Linked DNA regions of Drosophila melanogaster. The gene in region 1 interacts genetically with each later gene. Each region holds a gene or a part of one and is shown on either strand. Other genes may lie near its edges.

Evidence for each region.
Region 2: of robo2 (region 1) and Dys, changing one suppresses a phenotype caused by changing the other (phenotypic suppression), as found in Drosophila melanogaster (one study listed by BioGRID).
Region 3: of robo2 (region 1) and comm, changing one suppresses a phenotype caused by changing the other (phenotypic suppression), as found in Drosophila melanogaster (2 studies listed by BioGRID).
Region 4: of robo2 (region 1) and ena, changing one suppresses a phenotype caused by changing the other (phenotypic suppression), as found in Drosophila melanogaster (2 studies listed by BioGRID).

What each region holds. Positions count from the first base shown.
Region 1 is NT_033779.5:1,417,432-1,422,053, reverse strand, and holds the start of robo2 (roundabout 2), read left to right. Parts: upstream 1-1,600; 5' UTR 1,601-1,888; coding exon 1,889-2,150; intron 2,151-4,622.
Region 2 is NT_033777.3:19,461,839-19,466,571, forward strand, and holds the start of Dys (dystrophin), read left to right. Parts: upstream 1-1,694; 5' UTR 1,695-1,801; exon of another isoform or gene 1,802-1,843; intron 1,844-2,661; 5' UTR 2,662-2,986; coding exon 2,987-3,008; intron 3,009-4,733. Other genes in the region: Scsalpha2 (Succinyl-coenzyme A synthetase alpha subunit 2), read right to left, coding at 98-1,126.
Region 3 is NT_037436.4:15,722,400-15,730,093, reverse strand, and holds the start of comm (commissureless), read left to right. Parts: upstream 1-1,663; 5' UTR 1,664-1,889; coding exon 1,890-2,397; intron 2,398-6,822; coding exon 6,823-7,427; 3' UTR 7,428-7,694. UniProt on the Drosophila melanogaster protein: Controls axon guidance across the CNS midline by preventing the delivery of Robo to the growth cone.
Region 4 is NT_033778.4:19,153,683-19,161,229, forward strand, and holds the start of ena (enabled), read left to right. Parts: upstream 1-1,538; 5' UTR 1,539-1,792; coding exon 1,793-2,685; intron 2,686-5,051; coding exon 5,052-5,373; intron 5,374-5,437; coding exon 5,438-5,670; intron 5,671-6,100; coding exon of another isoform or gene 6,101-6,112; coding exon 6,113-6,353; intron 6,354-6,494; coding exon 6,495-7,220; intron 7,221-7,291; coding exon 7,292-7,450; intron 7,451-7,511; coding exon 7,512-7,547. UniProt on the Drosophila melanogaster protein: Functions, together with Abl, trio and fra, in a complex signaling network that regulates axon guidance at the CNS midline. Required in part for robo-mediated repulsive axon guidance. May be involved in lamellipodial dynamics.

The DNA.
Region 1 (4,622 bases):
TTTGGTAAGGTAAAGGACATAAGGTATCTATATATTATATATTATCGTATATACTTGCAGCGTTGCCCAACTTCACTTGAGTGCTAATGAAGCGTGGCAACCGGGCTCAGATATCTCGCCTTTCAAGCAGAGCAACTCGCCCTGGCTGTAAATTGGCCAATTATCAGCATTTGAAATATGGTTTACCTGCCACGAATTCTCTCTTTCCTCTACCTGGATTCTTCGCCTCTATAAAAGGTGAGCGGCAGTGGGAATCGGGATTCGAGAGTCGGGATCGGAGAATCGAAGAAACGAGGGACTTGAGAAGGCAACAAACTCACATACGCCGTACGCACTTTGACCTTTCTTTCTCGCAGAGACAATGCACATTGTGTTGCACTCTGAAAAGGGGAAGTGGAGGGGGAAAGGGAATCCACACCTGCCCGCTCCTAAATGCACGCATAGTTCCTTTATAGGAAAGATACACACCTTTATTTTACACTTCTCTGCCCGTCGAATGTATCTGTATCTGTATTTTCTGAGCACCGGCATTAATGAACTGACTTCACACTCGTCCGAAGAACTCTACCTGGAGGAAAAGTTATTGATTATTTAACAAACGCTGGGAAATTAGGCAGCGATTTATAGAGGAAAGCCCTTTCGGATATGCACTTTGATAAATTAATACAATATCGTCTAGCTGGCCATTCAATTGATTTCGAAATTCATTAGCGCGCAGAGGCGTCTAGATATTGGGACAGTGTCCAAGAACGGGTCTCCACTTTGATTTCTATTCATCGCATTGTGAAACGGATCGTCTAGAACTGTGTCTGGCTTTATTGCAGTTTGGAAATAGATGAGCTAACAGCTGGAGAGTGAGTGGGGCACTCGAGCAGATTAGATATGAAATGGTCGCCCCTTTGGAGGGGCTCTTTCGACTCTCTGCGCCGGCGAAGGGTTGAGCGGACACGGTGGAGCTGGAGGGCAATAAAGCGCAACAAGTAGGGATTATCCGAGCTCGAAATGTTTTCGGATTCGGATGGAAACTATTGAGGCTGAGCGGCACAAAGGTTGGCAATTTGTTGGCTTGACAACGTGAAAAAGAGCTTGAATGATCGAATAAAAATGGAAAAGAGCTGGAGATAAACAAGTTGGACTTGGAAATGGATGTGGCATGGTGTTAAAGTCCGTTTGAATGTAGATTTTTTTGTATTAGCAAATGATGCAGATTATTCATAAAAAAAGCCAATAAATACATGACTATGTGTTGTGCTGCAAAGAAATCCCCATCTAGTCCTGGAAGTCAGATACATATTCCAACAATTCACATCCACTCAATAGCAACATGATGATGCACCACCACCCGAAATGTTGCACGACTCGACGATAAACCTAGGGCACGTGGATCGAAACGAGTGAAGACGGAACAAAACAAACCGTCTTGCAGTAAAAGTAAACAAAGTTCCAACGCGTTCCACAGCATGCAACAAGCGGGACGAACTGGAACGCGGAACAGCGCACGAAGCGATACAGATACTAGATGGTACTCGGATACACAGACACGAAGCAGTAGCCGAAGTGGACTTCGGGTGGCGGCTCCGAGGCGAAACGAGAATTCGTTCCTCAGTCGCATTTCGATTGTCAGCCGGTTCGCATGTGCTGCGGATGCAGATACAGTCCATATATCCGTATCCGTTCGATTCGTCGGGTTACGCGCGTCGTCGTTCCGGGAAACGGACTTAGTGGCGCCGCCATGGATTCAGATGCTAGCGAATAACTAACTCGGAGGAACAGAAATACTGTGTGTGCCAAAACAGAAGATCCGAAAGATTGCGCGTATCGAGAAATGAGTGCAAATCTATTTTAAATGGTGTGCAATTAAGGAGGCGAAACGAGAATACTTGACAAAATGCATTTGTGCGAGATGCGTGGAATGCCGCTGCGGTTGCAACCTCAGTGTTTAACCAACGAAAGCGAAATTCAAATTAAAATCAAAAGCAAAATCAAAAATAAAACTGCCAGCGAGATCAAACGCCGACACAGAAACAATCGAGATTTTCATGGGGAGCGGCTAAAAATAATGCCAGTCGATCGGAGTCGACGCGCAGTATTCCCACTGCTGCTGCTCCTCGCGGGATTAAACGGATTAACTCAAGTCGGAGCGCTCAAGGGTAAGTGTCAACAGATGCAAGATGCGTCCATCTCCAGAGTTGCATTCGCAGGGTTGCATTGTGGGATCTCTGTTTTAGTTTGAAGGGCATTATGACAAACTATTTCCTCCCAGAGCCAGGGAAAATCCTTCGCGGCCGCATATGAGTTGCCTCCTCATGTCGCTGCACTCCCCATTTATTTATTAGCGTCATTTGTTTCCATTTACGTTTTTTTGTTGGTCGACTCCGTCTTTTGGCTATTTTTGGTTGCAACACACGCGGCCCGACCGAACAACAAAGTGAAATTAAGGCACTGCGGTTTATTTATGCCTGCAACGTTCGCTAATGGATTTTAAGGCCGCTTTATAGACAACGCGACATCGACTCTGCCCATAGACCCATTATTCATGCCTCTCTCTCCCGATTCTCATTAGAGATGCACATAATGGGGCGACTTTTGGATGGGCATAGCTGGATGTTTGGGCTTTGGCAGGGCATTGCAATCGGTATCGTAATTCCAGAGATCTCTCAGAAGTTCTCTGCAGGTTAGGGAAGGTTAAGAAGTATCTATTAGTATGGATACTTTTAAGAACAATGCTGCTAATTCCTCATTATTCCTTATCACCACATAACGAACACCAAAAAACAAATGCTAACCCACTGAACCCACTTAGGGATCACATTTGGGAAAACTAAATACAACTTCCAAAGAATACACAGATCGTATTACACATCGAACCCGAGAAAAGTGAAAAAAAAATGCATATGTGGAAACTCAGTTGGATGAGGGTAAATCGAAACACAGAAATTGTAAACCCCTTAGGGAGGATCTCGGGAAAGATCACTAACCAAAACCAAAACCGAACTTTAGATAAATGAGTAATGAGTTCGAAAGACTAATCAACCGAGTGTAGTTTCCCGCTCCAATCTCGCAACTGATTACAGGAAAATCAAACAAAGAATCGAGTTTGTGGCTTTTGTGGTCGAGATGGCAAGTTCAAAAAGAAAACTAAAGCGAAATGGTTTGAGGTTGGCGGTTTAAGGAATGGGAGTTAAGCAACGCTTTTAAATTAGACCCTTTGGCGATTTCATGGCTCTATACCTCCGCCGATAAAACATATATCTAAATGAGCTTAAGTCGTCACACCCCTTGCAACGCTGAGAATGTTGTAATCTAATGCTTATTAAACGCTTTTTAATGCCAAACCAACGACGCCCAGTCCACTGATATCGTCCATGGACACACGCAACTCGGATTCGGATTGGGATTGGGATTTTTGAATTCGGATTTCAGTAAACACTTGAACACGCAACCTGAGGCTGTGTGTTGCAGCACCAAGTATCTGTATCTCAGTGTCCCCATCCCGAAATGGCCGATGTGACGTGGCAAGTGTTGCACGCGACGTCGCCCGTTTGATATAATAAATTGTATAAAATTATCTGCACCGGCACACGACAGGATTTTGTTCCTCACTTCTGGTGGTGTGTGACCAGCGAGATCCAGTTAGCAGCCCAGCTTTTGGGTGGTGGGTCAATCGCAGTCGGCTTGAGAATCTGTCGGGGTCATAAAAATTATCGCCCTCAACACAAAGTTGCAGGGTTGACAGCCTTGGCAACCTTCTAATGCCACTCTGGGGAGCGTTTTTCCAGCTAACTGGACTGACTGCACTTCTTTCTGTTTTTTTTTTTTTTTTTTTCGTTTTGACTCCGGGGGTGGCAGTCTATCCTTTCCTTTGTCTTGGCCGTTTATGTTGGCATTTTTTGTGTTTTTGTGTTTTTTTTTTTTGGGTGCCCGCCTGGCAAAAGCCTTTCGGCTCTTGTGCAATTTTCTCATGTGCATTATGCGAAAATTGGGCTAAGTAGCGGTCTCTGGCTTAGTTTTCCTACTTTCCCGGGCGAAAGAAATGAAGTCAAGTGCTGTGGCAGCTCCGTAGCATGTTATTTGTTCAATCACATGATTGCCCTACCAATCGCCCGGCACTCAACGAGATCTCCCATTTGCTCCCAGCTGCAGGCTAGATAATGAGGGGTCTTATGGGATAGTATCCATGCCATAGCTAGCACCGATACGTTGGCACACAGTTTGGGGCAGGAATGTGATTGAAAGTCGGGCCAATGTGGGTGGAGGTGTTGCAAGTCGACTGGCGAAAGGTCTAGCGGATAGCGACGTACTTCTAGGAATATTCGAAAATACGGACTAGGACGGGAGTGATAGGTTTTCAGTAATATGTAGTTTTACTTCTAATAAAAAAATCAATTTGGATCGAATTCCTTAGAAAACACATAGCCACTCCTTGGGGAAAAGTATTTACTTCTAATTGCAACTAGCCGTGGCTTCAGTACGCCTTTCCTAAGAGCATTCGATCTCCAGTCGACTATTTGCCAGCCAAACAATAATTAATTATTTAAAACAACAGGCTTACGACGACGGCCAGAACCCAGAACGCAGAGCCCAGAGAGACATCGGTCTGGAAGTCTGGAAGTTTGAATGGC
Region 2 (4,733 bases), on another chromosome or scaffold:
TATAATTTAGACTTCGAAAAAAAAATAAAAGAGATATTTTAGCAATTTAAAGAGCACTAAGTTAGTTTATTGGCATCAATAACTTGTTCCGCCACTCCTACTTCTTCCCGGCCTGAGCCTTCTTTTTGTTCGGCTTGGGCACCAGTTTCAGGCGGATCATTTCCTCGAGGAGCGTGGAGCCCAGGTGGCAGGGATTGGCGGTCATACGGACTCCCGCTTTCTCCAGGGCGGCCACCTTGTCCTTGGCCGCTCCCTTGCCACCGGAAATGATGGCGCCGGCGTGACCCATTCGACGACCCGGTGGAGCAGTCTGTCCAGCAATGAAGCCAACTACTGGCTTGGCCTCGCAGCCAGTGTTCTTCTCCTTAAGGAAATCGGCAGCCTCTTCCTCGGCGGATCCGCCAATCTCTCCAATCATGACAATGCCCTTGATCTCCTTGTCGGACAGAAACACTTTGAGGGCGTCTATGAAGCTAGTTCCGTTAAAGGGATCCCCGCCGAGGCCAACGCAAAGAGCCTGACCCAATCCCACGTTGGTGGTCTGATGGACGGACTCGTAGGTCAGGGTTCCCGACCGCGAGACTATGCCCACCACTCCTCGCTTGTGGATATCTCCCGGCATTATTCCGATTTTGCACTGATCCGGCGAGATGATTCCCGGACAGTTGGGTCCCAGCAGGCGGGACTTCTCCTGGCAATTCAGCATTTGCGATATCCGCACCATATCCGCCTGGGGAATACCCTCGGTGATGGCCACAATCAAGCCAATTTCACTCTCGATAGCCGCGCAAATACCCTCGGCGGCGGATGGAGGTGGTATAAAGATCACCGTGGCATCTGGCTTCGCCTTCTCCACAGCTTCTGCCACCGATTTGAATACGGGCTTGCCCAGATGCTCCGTACCTCCCTTTTTGGGATTCACACCGCCAACTATATTGGTTCCGTACTTTATGGACTCCTCCGAGTGGAAAGTGGCCTGCTTGCCGGTGAATCCCTGGACTAGAACCTTTGTTGCCTTGTTGATCTTCAGGTTGCACACCGTCTTGCCATAGTCCGCCTTGCCACGCCTCAAAATTTGGGGCGTTAACGCCCGCAGGAGCATCTTGCTTCCTCGATTTAGTGACATTTTGTGGGAATTAAGTCTTGGATTGCTGGTGGATTTGTTTTTGGGCCAAAAAATTAAACTTTTGGGGCCTGATTTAGAATGGAGTTCTTACCAAAACTGTTGACCGAATGTCAGGTTTCAACAGTCAAATTATCAGGGAGGTTTGGAAAAAGGCCTGCTGTGTTCTTAACAAATCCTTTTCTGGTAATTTACGTACATGCATGTTTAAGTGCATTTTCTTTTATACAACATTGAGGTCCTATAACTCCTAAACCTTGCTTTGTAACTTCATGTTATTAAATTTAAAGAGTTATTATCTGTTATAATATAAATTTGATAGTAACTTGTTAAAGTAAAAATGAAAACAAATTATCTACCCCACTGTGCCTGCGCTCAGCCCTTCAATTAATTCCGATTCGATTTTAATTGAAATCCAATAGAAACTCCTCTTTTATCTCGCTCTCACTCTCTGAGCGCGCGAAACAGCTGAACTGAAACGCCCGCTTTGGCCAGTTGGGCTGCAACCCGTTCCAATAAGATCATCGTTCAAAGAGAGCGAACAAGAATAGCTACGTTACGATCGCGTTTCAGATCGCTTTCTGACTTCGAAGCGTAAAGACTTAAAACGCGTCGGATAAACACCATGATGTTACTGGTTTTTTTCTGCGCGCCGTCGTTGTGAGCCGAGAAGAAAAAGTAACAAAAGAAGCAGCGCAGGAAAATCAAAATTGGCTGCAAGTGCGTGTCCCGAAAGTTTAATAACCAAGAAAAGTTTGTAAATTGAAAAAGGCACTTAAAGTGGTTACCTAAAATGAAAAGATAATGGGAAAGAGCAAAAAAAAAAGCTGACGCAAGTTCAAGGTGTAGAATTTGTGCGCGTGTGTGAGTGTGCCACAAGTTGTTTGAGCAAAAGTGGAGAAATAATATAAATTCCGAAGGAATTTCAACAGCAAGTGCTTGAAATCGCAATTGGTGTGCCAAACTTAAGGTTTTGCCTTGTCTTTAATCGAGTTTTTAGAGGTTTTAACTCTTTTTTTCCAACAAACACACACATTCACGCATTCTTGATTCTTTGACTCACAAATTACCCACGATAGCAACAACAAAAGTGTTGTCTGTTCCAATAGCCACACGTTCCATTTCTGGTTTTCGCTTTTAATGCCGCACTGTTTCGGACGTTTCCAGCGTTCCTCGTTAACCGGTGTTTGCTTTTTGATGAGCGTGAGAGCGGGGAAAGATAAAAAGAGAGAGAGAGAGACTAAGAAATTGATAAAGAAAATGGAAAAAAGTAAATAAAACAATCAAATTGGTAAACAACGCTGCTTGTTAAAATTAAAAATGGCAGGCAAACACAAAAACTCATTAAAAGCAGAGGAAAACCTAACGGTAGTTTCCTGACTCCCGCTCACTTCCTCTCTCTCGCTCATTCTCTTTGCCGTTGCGCATGCGCAAAACATATTTGTTTCTTGGTGGGAAAGTCAACACAAAGTCTAATAAGAAAACAAACATCACAGGTGTCACCTTTAATATTCGACATTCTGCAATTGTGATTTTAGGTCTTTGTAGAATTCTTGGCACACCTTCGATTTCTGGAAATTAACGCGAAATATTACGAAACGAAGCGGTAAACAAAACCAAATGGTGCGAAAGTGGTAAAAAAAAACGAAATGCGGCGATATCAGTTGTCTTACCACGAAGCATACATATCAATCAAACCGAAATAAATAACCCGAATTGTGTCCATGTGATTCAACGATTTTGTAATTCAATTCGATACGATACGACCTTGAAAAGCATAGGTTTTTATGTTGGTGATTTTAAATTTTATCGAAACGAAATCAATTCGCTACTGGGATTAAGCGAATCAAGGATTATACGACTATGGAACCCGGAATTTTAATTGGTAAGATTGTAGATCTTTATATGGGTTTTTAAAGAGAAAATCATTACTGACTTCAAGGCAGATGTTAAAATACAAGATGAGATAAGTCATATTTCTTGTTTGGAAAATCATTAAAAATTCGATCCAATAACAGATAAATCAATTTATATATACAATTTAATGTATGTAGTGTTCTTTCTCTTAAGTTTATTGGTAAATATTCTTAAAAATATTTTGCTTAGTTTGCTTTGTAGCATAAAATTAAGTCAAAAAGTCGTTCAAAAAGTATTCTGTATGCATTTATTCCCACACATGTTCGGAGCTAATTACAGAAAAAATCCACAGATCATCCAACTGCACTCCCTTCTCAAAACTTAACCCCATTGGGGGAAGAGCAATTATTTCGAGGGCTCAGAACTCGTGCCCCCATTTCACATATCTGAAATAATTTCCATGCTTTCTTCGCTCGCAGAAGCGACTTTAAAAACGGAGACAAACAGACGACCACATGTTGCTTGTAGTCACAGAAACATATGCAATCACTGGGAGAAATTTTTCTAATCTACAGAATATTAAAAAGTGTTAAAGAAAAGAAAATAATTATAATTAGAAAGTAAGTAAAGAAGATGAAAAATACATTTGCAATTGAGAAATTAAGCTAGTCAGACAATTTTTCGAAGCCACATTGTATCTCAAGAACAAAGCGATTTAAATTTCAAATCCTAATATAAATCGAACTGAGCTAATTTTTTCGCCCAGTGTCCTGGAACAACAAAGTGATGGCACACACCCCATTCAGAACCACAGATACAGATACATCGCTTTAACTCATTTGGTTAAGCATTTAATGATCGGGCAAATGCAGAGTCGGCCGAGTTCTGAGGGGACAGCTGGAAAATGCGAGTGAGGAGCAGAGGGTGTGGCCTGGTCTGTAGACGGCGGTTGCTAACGCTCCCAAGCCGAATGCTCTGCGTAACCCGCGCTCAGCTAATGAGCACCCAACCGCTGTGGAGGGGGGTTGGGTGGAAAATCGGGGGAGCGGGCTGCGAACGGGTGTAATTGAGACTCGGTTTAGACACCGAACCGCACCAATTTGTGCGAGAAATCTAATATGTGCGGGTTTCCATAAAACCCGGCGGCGAAAATGCCGAGGGTATATTGTATTTCTTATAAATATTAATAATATGAGTTTTAAAATTTGTAGACTTACAAAAACTTCAACGCAAATAAACGATCATTCGATTTTTATAAATAATATATAACTATTTCGACAATCTGTAGTTGATAAACCCCAAGCAAGGGTTTCGAATAAAATTGCTAAGTATTCTATTTCGTTTTTAGATTAAATGTAAAGTATTCAACAGTTTTCGAATTCCAAATTCGGGCTTGGATGGCATTAGGCGTATCCATGAGTGTCGCTGGTTTGTCTGCGGCTTAAAACCGGCAAAGCCACCAGTTCGGATCGAAATCCGCTCGACCAGCTGGGCTTGGAATGCGACAAAATGCGCATTTGCATTTGGCCACATGTGTCGGTTTTATTTGATATGTTTTTGTATTTGAGCTTAGTGGGATCTGGAGCACACATTACCAATACCAGTGCAGCCGGTCTTTTCAAGTAACACGGACACGGAGTCAAAAATGCGCACGCCCGTAAAAAATTACTCCAACTACAGCTCGCAATTTGTTATTCCCGCTATTTTGCTCTTTTTTTTTTTGGCTAATGGGTTTCCATTTGTTTATTGCTTG
Region 3 (7,694 bases), on another chromosome or scaffold:
TTTCATGCTTTAAAAATATATAAAATTATTAAAATGATTATTCTTATTGTACAGCCTGATTTATATTAAGTCCCACTTATTTTGTTACCACTACGAATTTCGACTACACCAAAGACCAACAAGTTATTAAATATACCAAGGAAATGATTATTTTCTAGCTGCATTTAGGCCATCAAAGTTTCCCTGAACTACCCAACGTACTGAAGTATGCCCGCAAACACGCATTGATTAAAATCGCTGCAGTTAAAACTTATGCTCAAGTTCAAAATTAGTCGAAAGCTAATTAACGATAAGCTCGGCTTGCCAAAGTGCAGTGCAGAAGTTTTCGCCTGGGCTCGGAAAAGTTTTTAATGCATTTATCGAGTGACTTTGGTCTCTAGCTAAGTGCTTATTATCGGGCATCTATTTCAATTTCCCCCTGGCAATTACGAGGCAGTCGAAACTACACATTGTAGTTGTCGGGAAAAACTACGTATTTTCCAGCCGCCCAAGACCTCTGACATTTTGAAACACCCACAACACACCGTGTGACCTTTAACCCAGGGCAGTTCAAAGGCAACTGCCATCGACTGCTCATTTTTAGTTTGGTTTTGCGCCAGGGAAATGGGAAAATTCACTCACCAGAGAGAGCGAGAAAAACTGCAAAAGAGAGAGAGAGAGAGAGAGAGTGCGCAATCAAGTGGGAGAAAATTTCCCTTTTTGAGTCCAAGTCTCTCCGAGAAGAACCGGTTTTCGAGTGGGTTTTCGAATGACATTGGAGTGAGTTCGGGTGCAGTGCATTTGTTCCACTTTCTGAGCAGGATATTTTTGGCACGTTTTTGTGTCGTCGGAGCCTTTTGTGCATTGAGTTTTTGCCACACTGCCGGCTTATGGTCAGCATGAGCAGAAATGAAGCGTGCTGTGGGTCGAATCCCCTTCCTGATTTTTTGTTGTTTTGTACCCCATTTTAGCCTTTTTGGAAGCAACAGCAACTGCTGGCAGCAGGAAGCATTGCGGTATCCTGACGCTCGAGGGACTCATAATGGTCGAGATTTTGAGTTCTGGTTACAGTTTGGGCTCTGGGCTACTTTAAAGCCAGTGAAAACTGGGTTAGTTTAAGATGGCTAAAAGCTAGACGTCACATAATTTCCATAAATTCTTCATGGCCCAAACAAAACTTTTAGCTGGCCATAATTCTTCGTTTGATTTGGCGCAAACTTCGCGCTCAGGCTTATCAAATGCCTCAGAACCCCTTTTTGCCTTTCATTAAAATCAGCACAGACTGAAACTTTGCCACAAAGCAATTTGCTGGAAAAACACAAGACCGAAAAGCGTTGGAAAAACTTTAAACAACGAACGTGACCGAGGTGAAGTTTTCCCTTCTTAACAGCGTTTTTTTCTCTGGTTTTCGTACGGAAAATATAGTTTTTGGTCAAACTAGGTCAGCTGGAGAGCAAAAAATAAGGCAGGGAGAAGGCGAAAGGACGTCAAACATTTAAAAACATAAAAGACATGCCAGAAATTGCATGCTTCTTTAAGCAAGGACTTGACTTGATTTCTTGAGTGCCTCGCCCACGACTCACTCAAGAGCGAGTGAATCGAGAAAATGAGTGAGTGGAATGGCAAATTTCCCGCATGGCATGGCATTCTCAGCGACCCGATGTAGGTATTATGCTCTGCCAGCTAGCAGTCAGTCAACTTATAGCCGCTCCAGCGAACGGACGCACCGAAAATCGAGCTATAGAAACTCTACGGCAAATAAAAAACCCGAAATCGAACCCATGACTTATATATAGAGCCAAACGATTTGTTTACGTGTCGTGACGCGAGTGTGCCAGCAGTTGTGTGCGTGTGCCAGACGCAAGCAGAAAATAAAGTTTACAAATTAAAATAAATCAAAGGCAATCACCATGATTAGCACCACGGATTATCCAACAGTGGAGACCACCACAACTGCCGAAGAGCTCTATGCGGAGTACATATCCGCGCCGGCCAGCAGCATGAGTCCCGCTGCAATTGCCGAGCACCTGCAGCAGAATCAGATCACCTTCGAGATACCCAGTGCCCACGATCTGCGACACATCGACGCCCTCAACTCCTTCAACGCCCTGCTCCAGAGGATTGGCAACGCAGCGGTGTCCTACGATCCCGCTCCACCCAGCGGCTGGTCTCCGGATGGCAGCATCAGCACCGAGCAGCTCTCCAAGTCGGTGGTTCTGGATCTGGCCGACTTGCGGGATAGGTCCGAGGAATCGGGCGAATCCTCGTGGTGGAGCCAGATCTTCGGGGATGCCGACATGCATGTGATCATCAATTATCTGTGGATCGGAGTGGTCAGCTCGCTGGTCATTCTGTCGCTGGTCTTCATCCTCTTCAGCTGCTACTTCTACAGGAAGTTCCGCACTTGGAAAAAATGCAGTAAGTTTCAGTCGGACAGCCACCCAAATATAATCCCCACTCATTTTCCGCCCCCAAAATGCCATACATCTGGCTTTTATGTGCTCGACTTTAATCAAAATGTTTCGCCAAAGCCTTATCTCCGGCCATTTATTCAGCTGGCTAAACAATATAAAATGCAGAAACAGAAAGAGCAACCGAAACAGGTCCCACCACCACCCATCGGTTCCATCAGCTTGGGAGCTTTGCTCCATAGAGCTCCTATGGCCGCAAAGCCTCATAAATTTTTTGGCGCGCTTCGAAATTGTCAGCCAGCCGTTTGCATCGTTCTGTTGTAATTTTAGATACACAAGTTTATTATGCCACAAAATATATGTGCCGCATATTTATAATATTAAATTGACTCGCCTCGGAGGCATTGTGCCCCTTTTATGATAGCGATAATGTACGAGCTGGAGAATATGGACGACCTCGTCGACCCTTCTCCCTCGAAAAATTGGAATTGTTGCCCCGAAATTTGTTTTGCAGGCGAAAGGCGTGAAATTGTGCCTTGATATTTATATATTTTGTTTTGGGGGCCGAGGCGGTAAAGAGTAATATAATAAAATAATGATGGACCATATCACTCAGCTGCGTAGCTAAAGTCTGAGGAAATGTGGCCTTTGTAAGTGGGCGAGATTGTAAAATATTTATTTTGTTTGATATTAGTTTAGGACCTAGAAACATTAAAAATTGAATTTCATATTTTTCTGACATCTCTCACACTTTTAGTTCAGCTCTGGCAGTCCAGTATTAAATCCAAAATCAATCAAGTTTGACACAACTGTTATCAAAATCCCACCTAAATCCGACCCAGATTACCAACACTCAACCCAAATAGAGCCCATGTAAATATATATCTTATCTGCTCGAAACCTGTTGATCCCAATCCCAAAAATAAATCATATGTTTAGGCACTTTACACATAATTACGGAGCACCACAACAAAGAACCCAACTCATACTAAACCAAACAGAACTGAACAGAACCTAAATGGAATTGTATTGGAGGGGCTGGCTAAACAACCTACACAACTAACAAGACTCCGACTCAAGTGTCAAACTTTTTGCAGACCAATTTAGCCAAATGATTTATTTAGGCCGGGCAGCAAGTGAAGGACTACGGCCAGGAGCAAACTTTCGTCCTGTTCCTGGGACTGTGAGCACAACTTCTTGGGCCAAAGGGCCGTGGCCTTAAAGCCTGGCCAACTCAACTGTCAAACTGTCAATTTTGTGCTAACGAGCCTTAAAAACTTTGCCCTGCGATTACGACACGCGACCAAGAAGGGTGGATCCGGAAAGCTCCATTTATATATATATATATATATACGTGAAATATCAATTTGAGCGATATGTGTTGCCTGCTTTCGGCCGTCCAATGCGTCTAATTAGTTTCGTTAGTGTCGTGTTCTGTGCTTCTATTTTTTTTTTGTGTGCTCTTCCCTGGTCCTATGGCCCAGATAGATAGCAAGTGGTTGGTGGGATAGGTTGCCCGGGATACTGGGATACTGGGATACGAGAAGTACGTGTGTCATTTATAATTAAGCAACTAGGCCGGAGTTCACTTCGGCTTTTGTGCATTTAATGCCAGCTACGTGGCGTCTCGCAGTGTTTACCTTATAAATGCTTAACGAGGCCCAAACACAAGAGTGTCTGGCCCAGTTGCCATTCAGCCAGCCAGGCAGCCAGGCTTACACCTTATTTATTAAACTGTCACACACACTGGCGATGGCAAACTTTCGGTCCTTTGGCTTTGGCTTGTTATCAATTAGTGCAGCGGAGGACTACGACTGAATTTATTAACAGACCAGATGAAGTTACTAAATTAAAGCCAAAGCCAAGCCGAGGAGCAACAGCCACTGTTTATCATGTTGTATAGGTCCTGCATAATTTAGTTGCGTAAAAATGTAATTAAGCGTAGCATATTTGCCCAAGACCAGAAAAAGTTGCTCTTAGCCCGGCAGTCCTTTTAAATTTTTAATGGTTTTCGTAGCGAGCAGCGCAGAAAAACTAGAAGCTGCTCTCTTTTTCGGCCATGGAAAATATTTTAGTTGCTTTGGTAGTTTTTTACCCCCATTTTGGCAAACTCAAATTGAGTGCTGTAATTAACCAAATTGTTTTGTAGCCGACCAGCACTTAGTGGTATGGGAAAGGCATACATAATAGAGCTGGCAAAAGTTTTAATGGCTGAGACTGCATCTTTTGTGTGGGAAAAATGGAAACACTCGAAATCGAATACCCATTTCAATGGGCGGCTTAATAACAATTGAAAGCAGCTTAAATACAATGATCATAATTCTTAAATAAAAAACTCCACTCAGATCGAATAAAGCCAGAAAAGTTGGGGCGTTTAAAAAATTAACAGACATTTATGGCAACACAAAATAAAGCAGCTCACTGCTTTCCATTTGCCAGTTTCCATTCGAGAGTGCCAGCTTATTGCGATGAATTTAAATTGTTGCATACATTTGGGCGCATCGACAACAGAAATGGGGAAAAAAGACAGGATACAAATGCAAAAATAAAGAGAAAGAAGGCAAAGTGCCAATGCAGCTGAAAAACAAAAGGCATCAACGAATGGCGTTAATTTTTTTTTGCCAACCGCACAGAGAGCGAAATAAAAACTAAATTTTGTATCTAAATATTTGTTCCGTTAGTGATATTTTATTTTCCTCAAAATAACATCACTAACTGGTTTGCATAATAGAAAGTGAATAAAAAAAAGACATTTGATATCACCATAGGACTTCTAGTTAGTAATATAAATTTTCTGCGTGCATCGGCCACCTTTTTCCCGATTTTCCGACTTTCTTTGCGTCCATCTGCAATGCTTGAAGCGGCTGAGTTGGTGGATGGGGAGGGGGGGGTACACCTTTTTCAGGGGCGGCTGTTTGTTCAACACTTGCATAAAATATGAAGCCTGCAGTCTGTGTATGAGTGGGCCACGCCCCCTTAGTCCAGGGCCCCGTTTGCCGGCTGTCTATCAAACAGAGAGCAAGGAAAAAAGCACGGAAACAAAAGTCGAAAAAGGGAAAACAAAGAGACAGAGTCCTCATGTAGGGTGTTCTGGCCGAAAAAAAGGATTTATATATGTGTGTGTGTGTGTTACAGTTATAACAATAAATCAACAACTGCTGGCAGCCACTGTAACTGCTGACTGGTTCTGCTACCGCTGCGTTTTAATATTGTAATGCGCAAATTTTTCAACAGGCTTTACCCCATGCCACAAAAACCGAAATACCGACCACCTTTCCTTCCTGCGAGATGCGCTTTAATTGAAAAAGCGTTTTCGGGAACAGAGAATTTATGAAAAATACAGCCTGAACAATTAAAAAATTGCCGAGTTTTTCCACAGCGAGGCGGCAACCAAATTAAATGACACAAAAAATGGACAGAGGCGATCCCCTATTTATTTATTGAATGCAGTTTAAATTGCATTTAATAATACTGAATACCTGCCACTTTTTGCAATGCCACATATGCTGGGCCGAAATTCTATTTGAGGCAAATTATTGCTTCATGCATTTTTAATCTGCTGTAACTCAAAATACAACCAAATTAAATTCTTTGATGGCCTCGGCTTAGAGCGCGTGTGCATGGAAATTGGAATTTTCCAATCTTAATTTAACTCTGCTTAATTTGAAACATGCACACACACACACACTCAAGCACACACACATGGACAGCAGCTGCGGCATTATAAAAATTAAATGCTTTCTGCTGCCTACTTTCCGGGGCTGTCGAGCTTTTATTTCATTGCAGTTGGCAGTTGGCGAACGTGTATGTGTGAGCCTGTGTGTCTGTGTGTATGCGAGAGAGTATTTTATTTCATTCCATTCTGCCACGCGCGCACTTCCGGCATATTATTGCCTAGTTGCTGTTGTTGCTTGGGTGGCAGTCAGTCCGCTGTGAAGGAACTTCGCCTGTCCTGCCATCCTCGCCGGCATTTCCGGTCAGCACAAAACTTTCCGCTTCCCCTTTTTTGCCATTTTTTTCGCCTTTTTTTTTGCCTCTGCATTCGGGAAAGTTCAAGCGTTTGCGCCTTTACGCTAAATTGAATTTAATGCCACGGGCCCGTCCTTCTACAAATGTCCTTTGACATGGACAAACAAAGTAATGACAGAGTCAAAACTTTGATGCCTGATTGGGAAGCACCCATTCCGCTATTCCTACACAGCAAGAAATGAAAAAAAATAGTATCATGAAATAAATTTTAAACAAAAACGAATTTTAATTTTAACTATTAGTTACGTGGAATATTGTTATATCTCAATGTTTAAAGAATCTTAATTTGTGCTTTCTGCATTGCTTGCCCCAAAAAGTCCCTTTTTTTTCTCTGTCCATCTAAACAATAGAAACTTTCTGGTGACAAACTCAACTAACAAACTCCGTCTTCTGTTTATTGCAGATAAGGACATACGTGCCCAGATCCATGCGGCCAGTGACTCGTACTCCTCGCACCTGGTTGGTTGCGATGCCAGCAGACTGCTGTTGCACCAGCAGATGCAGCATCCACATCATCGGAGCAGCGAGGCTGGGTTCTACCAAATCGAATCGCCGCCCTGCTACACAATCGCCACCGGATTGCCCAGCTACGATGAGGCACTGCATCATCAGCCTCGGCACTTTGCCTACGGCATGAAGTTCGTTTATCCCTCGTTGGCGGCCGTGCATCATCATCACCATTGCATTTCCAATTGGGAGAAGCAGGAGCCGCTGAATAAGCTGCAAAAGTGCAAGCTGTCAGCGGCAGCGGCAGTGGAGGAGGATAAAGCCGACTCCTCATCGTCCACGTCTGCATCCGCGTCGCCATCCTCTTCGGAATCCAGCAACTTGGCCACAGCAACGCCTGCCATTTGCATTAACATGCCAAGTGGGCGGCAGGATGAGGAGGTGGATAATTCAGATTCCGATTCCGCAATTGCAGTTGCAGTGGCAGTAGCACAAAGTTTACAGCCGGCGGCGCCTGCCGACGATGATTGCGCCTCATTGGTCGTTGTTGTTGCCGCGTGATTGCCCACCCAGGGGTCAGAGGTCAGGGAATAAGGGGTCAGTCGAGGGTTTAGGGCCGGGAGTAGCAGCCCAATTGCTTAGTCACTTGTAAATAGTTGCATCGTCTGCTAATGTTGTTTGCCCCATGTAATAACATATATCTCCGAGAATGTACCCTCTCCCTCCCTCTAAGAAAATTTAGTTTTGGTTTTTAGTTATCTGTTATATATTATTGTATTACGCAAGACTGAGTATTATTTATTGTACTATGTATAAAACCGAATTGTC
Region 4 (7,547 bases), on another chromosome or scaffold:
CCGCTGCTCACATGTGTGGGCCCTGTTTGTTTTTATGATTTTTTTTTTTCCAGTCCGATGTCTGCCTGCGGGTCTTTATGGACAGCCATATGGATTACTCCAGTACTCGCATTCGTAGTGCCCCTTAGAAATATTTAGTTGCCAAATCATTTAAGCCGCGGCACACGCTCTGGTCCAAAAAAAAAAAAAAACAAAACAAAAATGGTAAAAAAAAAAAACGAACTGAACCATTCTGACAGAGCCATTAAAGCTAGCCGGTAATCGGTTGGCTCAAATCAGAGATCGGTGAACCACCAACAGCCACTACACAACCACTTACAATGGGCCACAATAATGTTAATTGGAAATAACGTTTAGGAATTGTTGTGGGGCAAAAAACCGAATCAGACTGAAACATAAGCCAGCGAGTCAGAAACAGAGGCTCAGATCTCTGAGAGCTGAGTGCTCCAAGTTGAGATAGACAATGTTGTATATGAATTTTTCATAACATGCTACAAGCTGTGCCTCCAGGTACCTCCCCCCCCCCATTTCCCGCCGCCGTCGCCGCTTTTCGCCGCCAAAGAACAGTTGAAATGAAGGAAACAAAAACGCAGCGAGCGAGGGAAAAATACTTGTAATAGTCACTCGAGGGGGAAATATAAATTATTGAGCTCGTTTCTTAAGTAATTATCGCACTGACGGACGGAACCAACTTACTGAATCACAAACACTGACCGAATGACTAACTGGCGGATGGACAGACTGACCAACTGGTTAAACGACGGTCACGAGACGTCGGCGAGGCTTCAAGATTGCCGGCAGAAAAAAGCCTCGGGCGCAACTTTGTAAGATTCGAGAGCTTATCGCATACCCTTCGAAACTGCATAAGAAATTTGAGATGGAACTTGCGCAATTTCATAGCTAGGCGAAAAGTTGTAAGGGTATGCCCTACAATTCATTGTATCATTGTAGCTCTCTGAAGATATTGCATATTTTAGGGAAACTGCTTGAAACTCTGTTTCAGTGCCTGAAAACTTCTCAAAATATAAACTTTTGAGTATTAAAATAAAATCGCCTTTCAATAATCTGAATCTTACATCCTTCCCTCAACGAAAATCGTGTAAAACGAGAACGTTTTTTCTCAATAGGTTCTATGCAGACTACTTGCCCTCACGTCTTTTAATTGTCATGCCATTTGGGAATCGTCTGAAGCGACTGTGAGTCAGGTTGTGGTCTCTCCATCTACCTGGCCATTATGCTCGGTTCCCAGCTCGGGGTCAATCCAGCTCAACATCCATAGCACATCTCATCATTTCTCATTATTTTATTGACTTTGAAGTGTAATTATTTGCCTTTTAGACGAATTCAAAGCGCAGCAGCCGCTAAAATGAGAGAAAAATACAGATTGTGAGCCGATACTCAGTTTCTCGCTCACGTCTTTTCTGCTCATTCGCCTTTAGATATATTTTTTTTCTCGGCTTTTGTTTGTCTTGGCCTCGACTGAGAGACCGTTTCGGTCTCTGAGACCCAGTCGCGATCTCGGTCTGGATCTTGGCTTTAGTCTCCAGCGGGTCTTGAGTGCGTTCAGACGTGTGCAGCTGAGATCTTGGAACGACGAATGGTGATCGGTGATCTCTGATCAGTGACCAGTGGGCAGAGAGCGAATAGCCAAGATCCAAGAGCCTAGGCAAACATAAATACGATACATCCGATCCGATCCGATCGTTCGGTTTCATAGTGTGCTTAAGTGTGGGATCGATCGTGGGATCTGTTTAGTGTCTGTGACGCCTCTGCAAATATTGGCCAACGGTTAATGGCCATGAAGAAGCTCTACGCGAAGACCTCGTTCACCAGCAAGAAGCCATCGAGTGCCGCCAATTCCACTCCGATATTGGCCTACCACCAGCAACAGCATCAGCAGCCGGGCAATGGCATTTGCGAGTTCCAGGTGGTGGCACCTGGTCACTCCGGTGAGCTAATGATACGCCGCAGCCAAAGTATGCACCACAAGATGTCGCCTCCAGTCGGCGGCCTGGGCTCCAAGTCGGAGTACTACAGCATTGAGGAGCTGCAGGAGCTGGATTTGCTGGACTATCGTCATCCCATGTACCATCATTATCAGCAGCAGGAGCTGAGGCAGCGCTACCATGAGCACGAGCAGTTGGTGCTGCAGTTACCCAAGGCTACTAGTCCAAAGGCAGGACCCATCTATGAGGCACCACAGAGATCTCAGCAGCAGCAGGATCAGATGTTGTATGTACCAACGGCAGCGCAAAGAGATTCATCATCAAGTGCTGCAGCCACATCTATAGCCAGCTCATCTACCCTAACTTCATCCCCATCGCCATCCTCCTCTTCATCTCTGATCTTTTCCACTTTGCGCAAATGCGTTTCGCCCTCGAATCCCTCGGTGAATCCGAACCAACCCTCAAAAACTCAACCCTCCAAACTGGGCTGTTCCATGTCGTTTTCAATTAGAACGACAACGGCAACAGCAGCCACAGCCGCAGCAGCAAATGCAGCAACAGCAACACTATCGACACAGCAGCAACAACAGCAGGCACAGCAGCAACACAAGCAACATCTCTATAGCAACATACATCATTATCTGATCCGACAACAACAGCAGAAACAACACTACACATTACAACGTCGCCATAATTCGGTCAAAGATAAATTCATTGGGGGCATTACAACGATTTTTGCGTATGTGTAACCCACTTCCCTATGCGTCTGTCCTTGGTTGGGTTCTGTAATAATTCCCATATTTCCCCACTTTTCTCTACTATACTTCTTCAATCTCAGCACGTAGTACTTGGCCCTGGACTTTTGAATGCGTTTTACAGCTTGGTGAGATCGTTCGTAAATCAAAGAACTCTTAACCCCCACAGAGCAGCCGCCGTCGTACTCTCCGGTTTAATCATAATTATAATTTAACGCCAATTAAGCTGGAAAACGCTATCGTGTGCACACGAATCTGCATCTTGCACTCGGCTGCAGTTTAAAAACTTAAGCTTAACGCACGAATAAATCCCCAAGGCATAGAAAATTTCACCTGCCACATATTGAAAATGCTCCCAAAGCGATTTTCCAGTGGCTCAATTATATTAGCATCCCATTTAACTGGCCATTTGCGGGGCACTTTTCGATTTTCATTTGGGTTTTCCACTCAGCTGCACAGCGCAAAAAAACGATTAAGATGTTAGTTTTTACTGAAATATTTAATTGCTTTCTTTAACGATTAAAATACTATGTATCACATGTGTCGATTTTACGATTCATGAACTCATTTCCATTTCTTTACAATCTAATGTAATTAAAACAGTCGTACAGTTCTATGATTGTAGCTTAAATCTCGGAATTGGCACGTTTAATAGGCACTTATTACGTGTAAAATCGAATGAAAGCATTTATGCACTGAATGTTAGTCACAAAATGCATTACTAATCCCAACTACTTTGCTGCTGCGAACTACTGAAATAATTTTAGTTGCATTAAAATTGTTTAAAAGAGTACAACACTTTTACAAAAGCAATTCTTTTGCTCACTCCGACTTCCTATAATTATTTTCGAATATGTAGTATCCAATTTATGAGATATAAATCGATTCGATTGTAAAAAACAGAAATTTAAAAAAACTGATTGACCGCTATTGTTTCGCAGTTTCTCATAGTGTGCAGAAAAAAAAAACTTCACTTTCGTTGCCACGAATTTCGATGCAAATCAAAGCGGACAGGCTCATAAGACTTAGCTCCAAACTGTCGGTGGTTATATAAGGCCCTGAAACGGCGCACAGCTGTGCCAGCCGCCAGAGTGCGACTCGGATTCGGATTGAGATTCGTCCGTCTGTCCAGCCGTCCGTACCGCCGATCTGCGCACTCCATTTAAGTGCAAAACTACTTGCGGCTTTTGGCCGGGCCAAGTCTGTAGCGAGAATACTGCCGACTCGACTCGTTTGGCGGCTGCTCTCCGTCATTATCTCTATGTGTCCCCCAGTAACACACAACTCGGAGCAACTTGGAGCAACTTGGAGCTGCTCAGGCAACTTGGAGCGGTGCAGGCTAGCAAAAACAAAAAAAGGGGCAGAGAAAAAAAGAAAAAAAAAAAGAACGGAGCTATAGGATAGAAAGAACACCACATAGCCAAGTTGAGCAAAAGGCAAGGCAACTCGTCATCGCCTTTGCATTTTTCCAATGAAGGCGTTCATTTGTCGCTGGCCATGTTTACTTCACTGGCTGACTTTAATTGTCAACTCAACTGAGTGTCCCGGGGGGAGAAAATGCTAAAGGTTGAATGCAGCATATACACGTTCATATTAGAACTTTCATTAGAATCATTTAATCGGTCCGTGCGACTCGAGACGATCATCTGGCTGGATGACAGGTGTGCGGGCATACAAAGAAATGCATTGCACTTCCTGTCCTGAAACCGATGGGATTAGAGGGGAGTCGAGGGTATACATAGATCAAAGCCCTTGCTCACTTGAGGCGTGTGAAAAGTCTGGAAGATCACGGTGCAGTAAAGTGCAGTTGAATGAGTTCTTCAAGGGGCAAATTGTAGAGCCGATCTAATGATCTGAAAACGACTGCTCATTGCGACATTCTTTCTGGGAAGTCTTAATCGAGTCTAAGAAGTTTTTTTTATTATGACGGAAAATCGATTTCTATGAATATATGTAGAAGCTTTCCATAGAACAATATATACTTTTTACTTCCAATCCCACGAAAGCCATCAATAAATTTGTATCTCTTTTATTGAACTCGTTTAGTGCAAATAATAAAGTTGCCAAATTTGACTAATTTGTTAGCACAACTTCCGTTTCGTTTCCCACGATCTTTTAAGACTTTAAAAGAGTTAACATCATAAAATGGAATTTTTGTACATACATATATGTTTCTCGCACATTTTCATATCTTTTCTTCTCAAGGCAAGGGCTATTCCCTATAATAAATTTTCAGCTCGAACTTCTTGAAGTGTGTTAAGTCCTCATCATTTCCATACACATTCAAGGTTCCATTCCATACCATTTAAGTCAGCCAACTAACCATAATATTCACACTTATTTCTTGCAGTGAGCAGAGTATTATCGGGGCGCGGGCCTCTGTGATGGTGTACGATGACAACCAGAAGAAGTGGGTGCCATCGGGCAGCTCGTCGGGATTGAGCAAGGTGCAGATCTACCACCACCAGCAGAACAACACGTTCCGTGTGGTGGGACGAAAGCTGCAGGATCACGAGGTGGTCATCAACTGCTCCATTCTGAAGGGACTGAAGTACAATCAGGCCACGGCAACATTTCATCAGTGGCGCGATTCGAAATTCGTTTACGGCTTGAACTTCTCGAGCCAAAATGATGCGGAGAACTTTGCTAGGGCCATGATGCATGCCCTGGAAGTAAGTATATCTCTTTCACAACCAATATCTGTATCATTCGCTAACATTTGAATGTCTTTCTCAGGTGCTCAGTGGTCGCGTGGCGAACAACCCAGGTGGACCGCCCACAAATGGCAATGGCTATGAGGAGGACATGGGCTATCGCACGATGACCAGCGAGGATGCAGCCATACTGCGTCAGAACAACAGCATAGGTGGGCACGTCACGCCCTCGGCCCAGACGCCCACCTCGCAGACCAACCAGAATAACATCCCCCAGAGCCCGCCGACGCCCCAGGGTCATCATCGCACCAGCAGGTAGGCTCCATTTCCATTAATTGTGTTGGATACGGCATGCTCATTGCTGTGGAAAAACCCATTAGCTTAGACTCGATTGATCTAACCATTCAAGAAATATTCAATTTTATGAGAATAAGTCATTAGCACATATTGGTCGGAAGGAACATCAGTTTTCTTTGAACATTATAAAGCTGAAAATCCGTGGTTGTTATAAATGAATCCTAAGATCAAAAATTTCATTAGTCTTCAGATGCAGATACATTTTCTTGCAAGATATGTAATGTAGGATACAATTGTAGGATTGCATTACGCAAGTTGGGAACAATTTCTATCCACTTACACATGAGCAGTAGGGGCCAACACTTTTATCCGAGTTCTCGTGTCTCATCTCTCATATCACTCATTGATCCATCCCCATCCCACGCCGAACCTTTGCTCACCCAAAAAGGAATTCCCTCAGCGCCCCACCGGCACCACAGCCCCAACAGCAGCAGCAGCAGCAGCAGGCGCAGCAAATGGGTCAGCCAGGATCCCACTATGGACCCACTGGAAATGGACCCACTTCGAATGGCCTGCCACAGCAGGTGAACTCACAGATTCCGCCGGCACCGCAGCAGCAGCCACAACAGCAACAGTTTCAGCAGCAGCAGCAGCAACAGCAATATCAGCAAATGGTCCAGGCGGGCTATGCGCCCTCTCAGGTGAGTTCGATATGCTATAACCTCACCCCGTCCCAGTTTCCTCATGCGGTATTTCTGTTTCATTTCATTGGCAAATTGGCTTGATCCTGAATCTGAATCTCCTGAAAACCCCGACACACCACCACCATCACACCCCAACAGCAGTATCAGCAACCCCACTACGTGCTCTCCAATTCTAATCCCAATCTAACTGTGCACCAATACCCGACACAGCAGGCGCAGCAGCAGCCACCGCAAGCGCCACAGCCGCCGCTCCAGAACGGTGGAATGTACATGGTGGGTCATGGTCATCTACCGAGCTCCGCGAGCGCCAACAGTGTTGTGTACGCCAGCCAGCAGCAGATGCTCCCGCAGGCGCATCCACAGGCACCTCAGGCGCCGACGATGCCAGGTCCGGGCTACGGTGGTCCACCAGTACCTCCGCCCCAGCAGCAGGCAGAGAATCCGTACGGTCAGGTACCCATGCCGCCGCCAATGAATCCGTCACAGCAACAGCAGCCAGGTCAGGTGCCTCTAAACCGGATGAGCAGCCAGGGTGGTCCAGGTGGCCCACCGGCTCCTGCTCCGCCCCCGCCACCACCCAGTTTTGGTGGAGCTGCTGGAGGAGGACCACCACCACCAGCCCCGCCACAGATGTTCAACGGCGCACCGCCGCCGCCAGCCATGGGCGGTGGACCACCGCCGGCTCCACCGGCACCGCCAGCAATGGGTGGCGGACCACCGCCAGCACCGGGCGGACCAGGGGCACCACCACCACCGCCTCCGCCGCCGGGATTGGGAGGAGCGCCTAAGAAGGAAGATCCCCAGGCAGATCTCATGGGCTCGCTGGCCTCCCAGCTGCAGCAGATCAAGCTCAAAAAGAATAAGGTAAAATATCAATTTATTTAATTTATACAACTTGACTAAGCATTGTATTACCGTTTATTTTTTATTTTTAGGTCACCACCTCTGCTCCGGAGAATAGCGGCAGCAGCACGTCCAGTGGCGGCAGCGGCAACTATGGAACCATAGGACGAAGCTCTAATGGCATGGCCTCCATGATGGACGAGATGGCCAAGACGCTGGCACGACGACGCGCCCAAGCAGAAAAGAAGGATGTAAGTCAACTTTGTTTAACTTATTCCATAATCAATATCTTAATTCGTTGGCATATTGCAGCCCGATCCTGAAGCCGAAGTGAAAAAACGCCCCTGG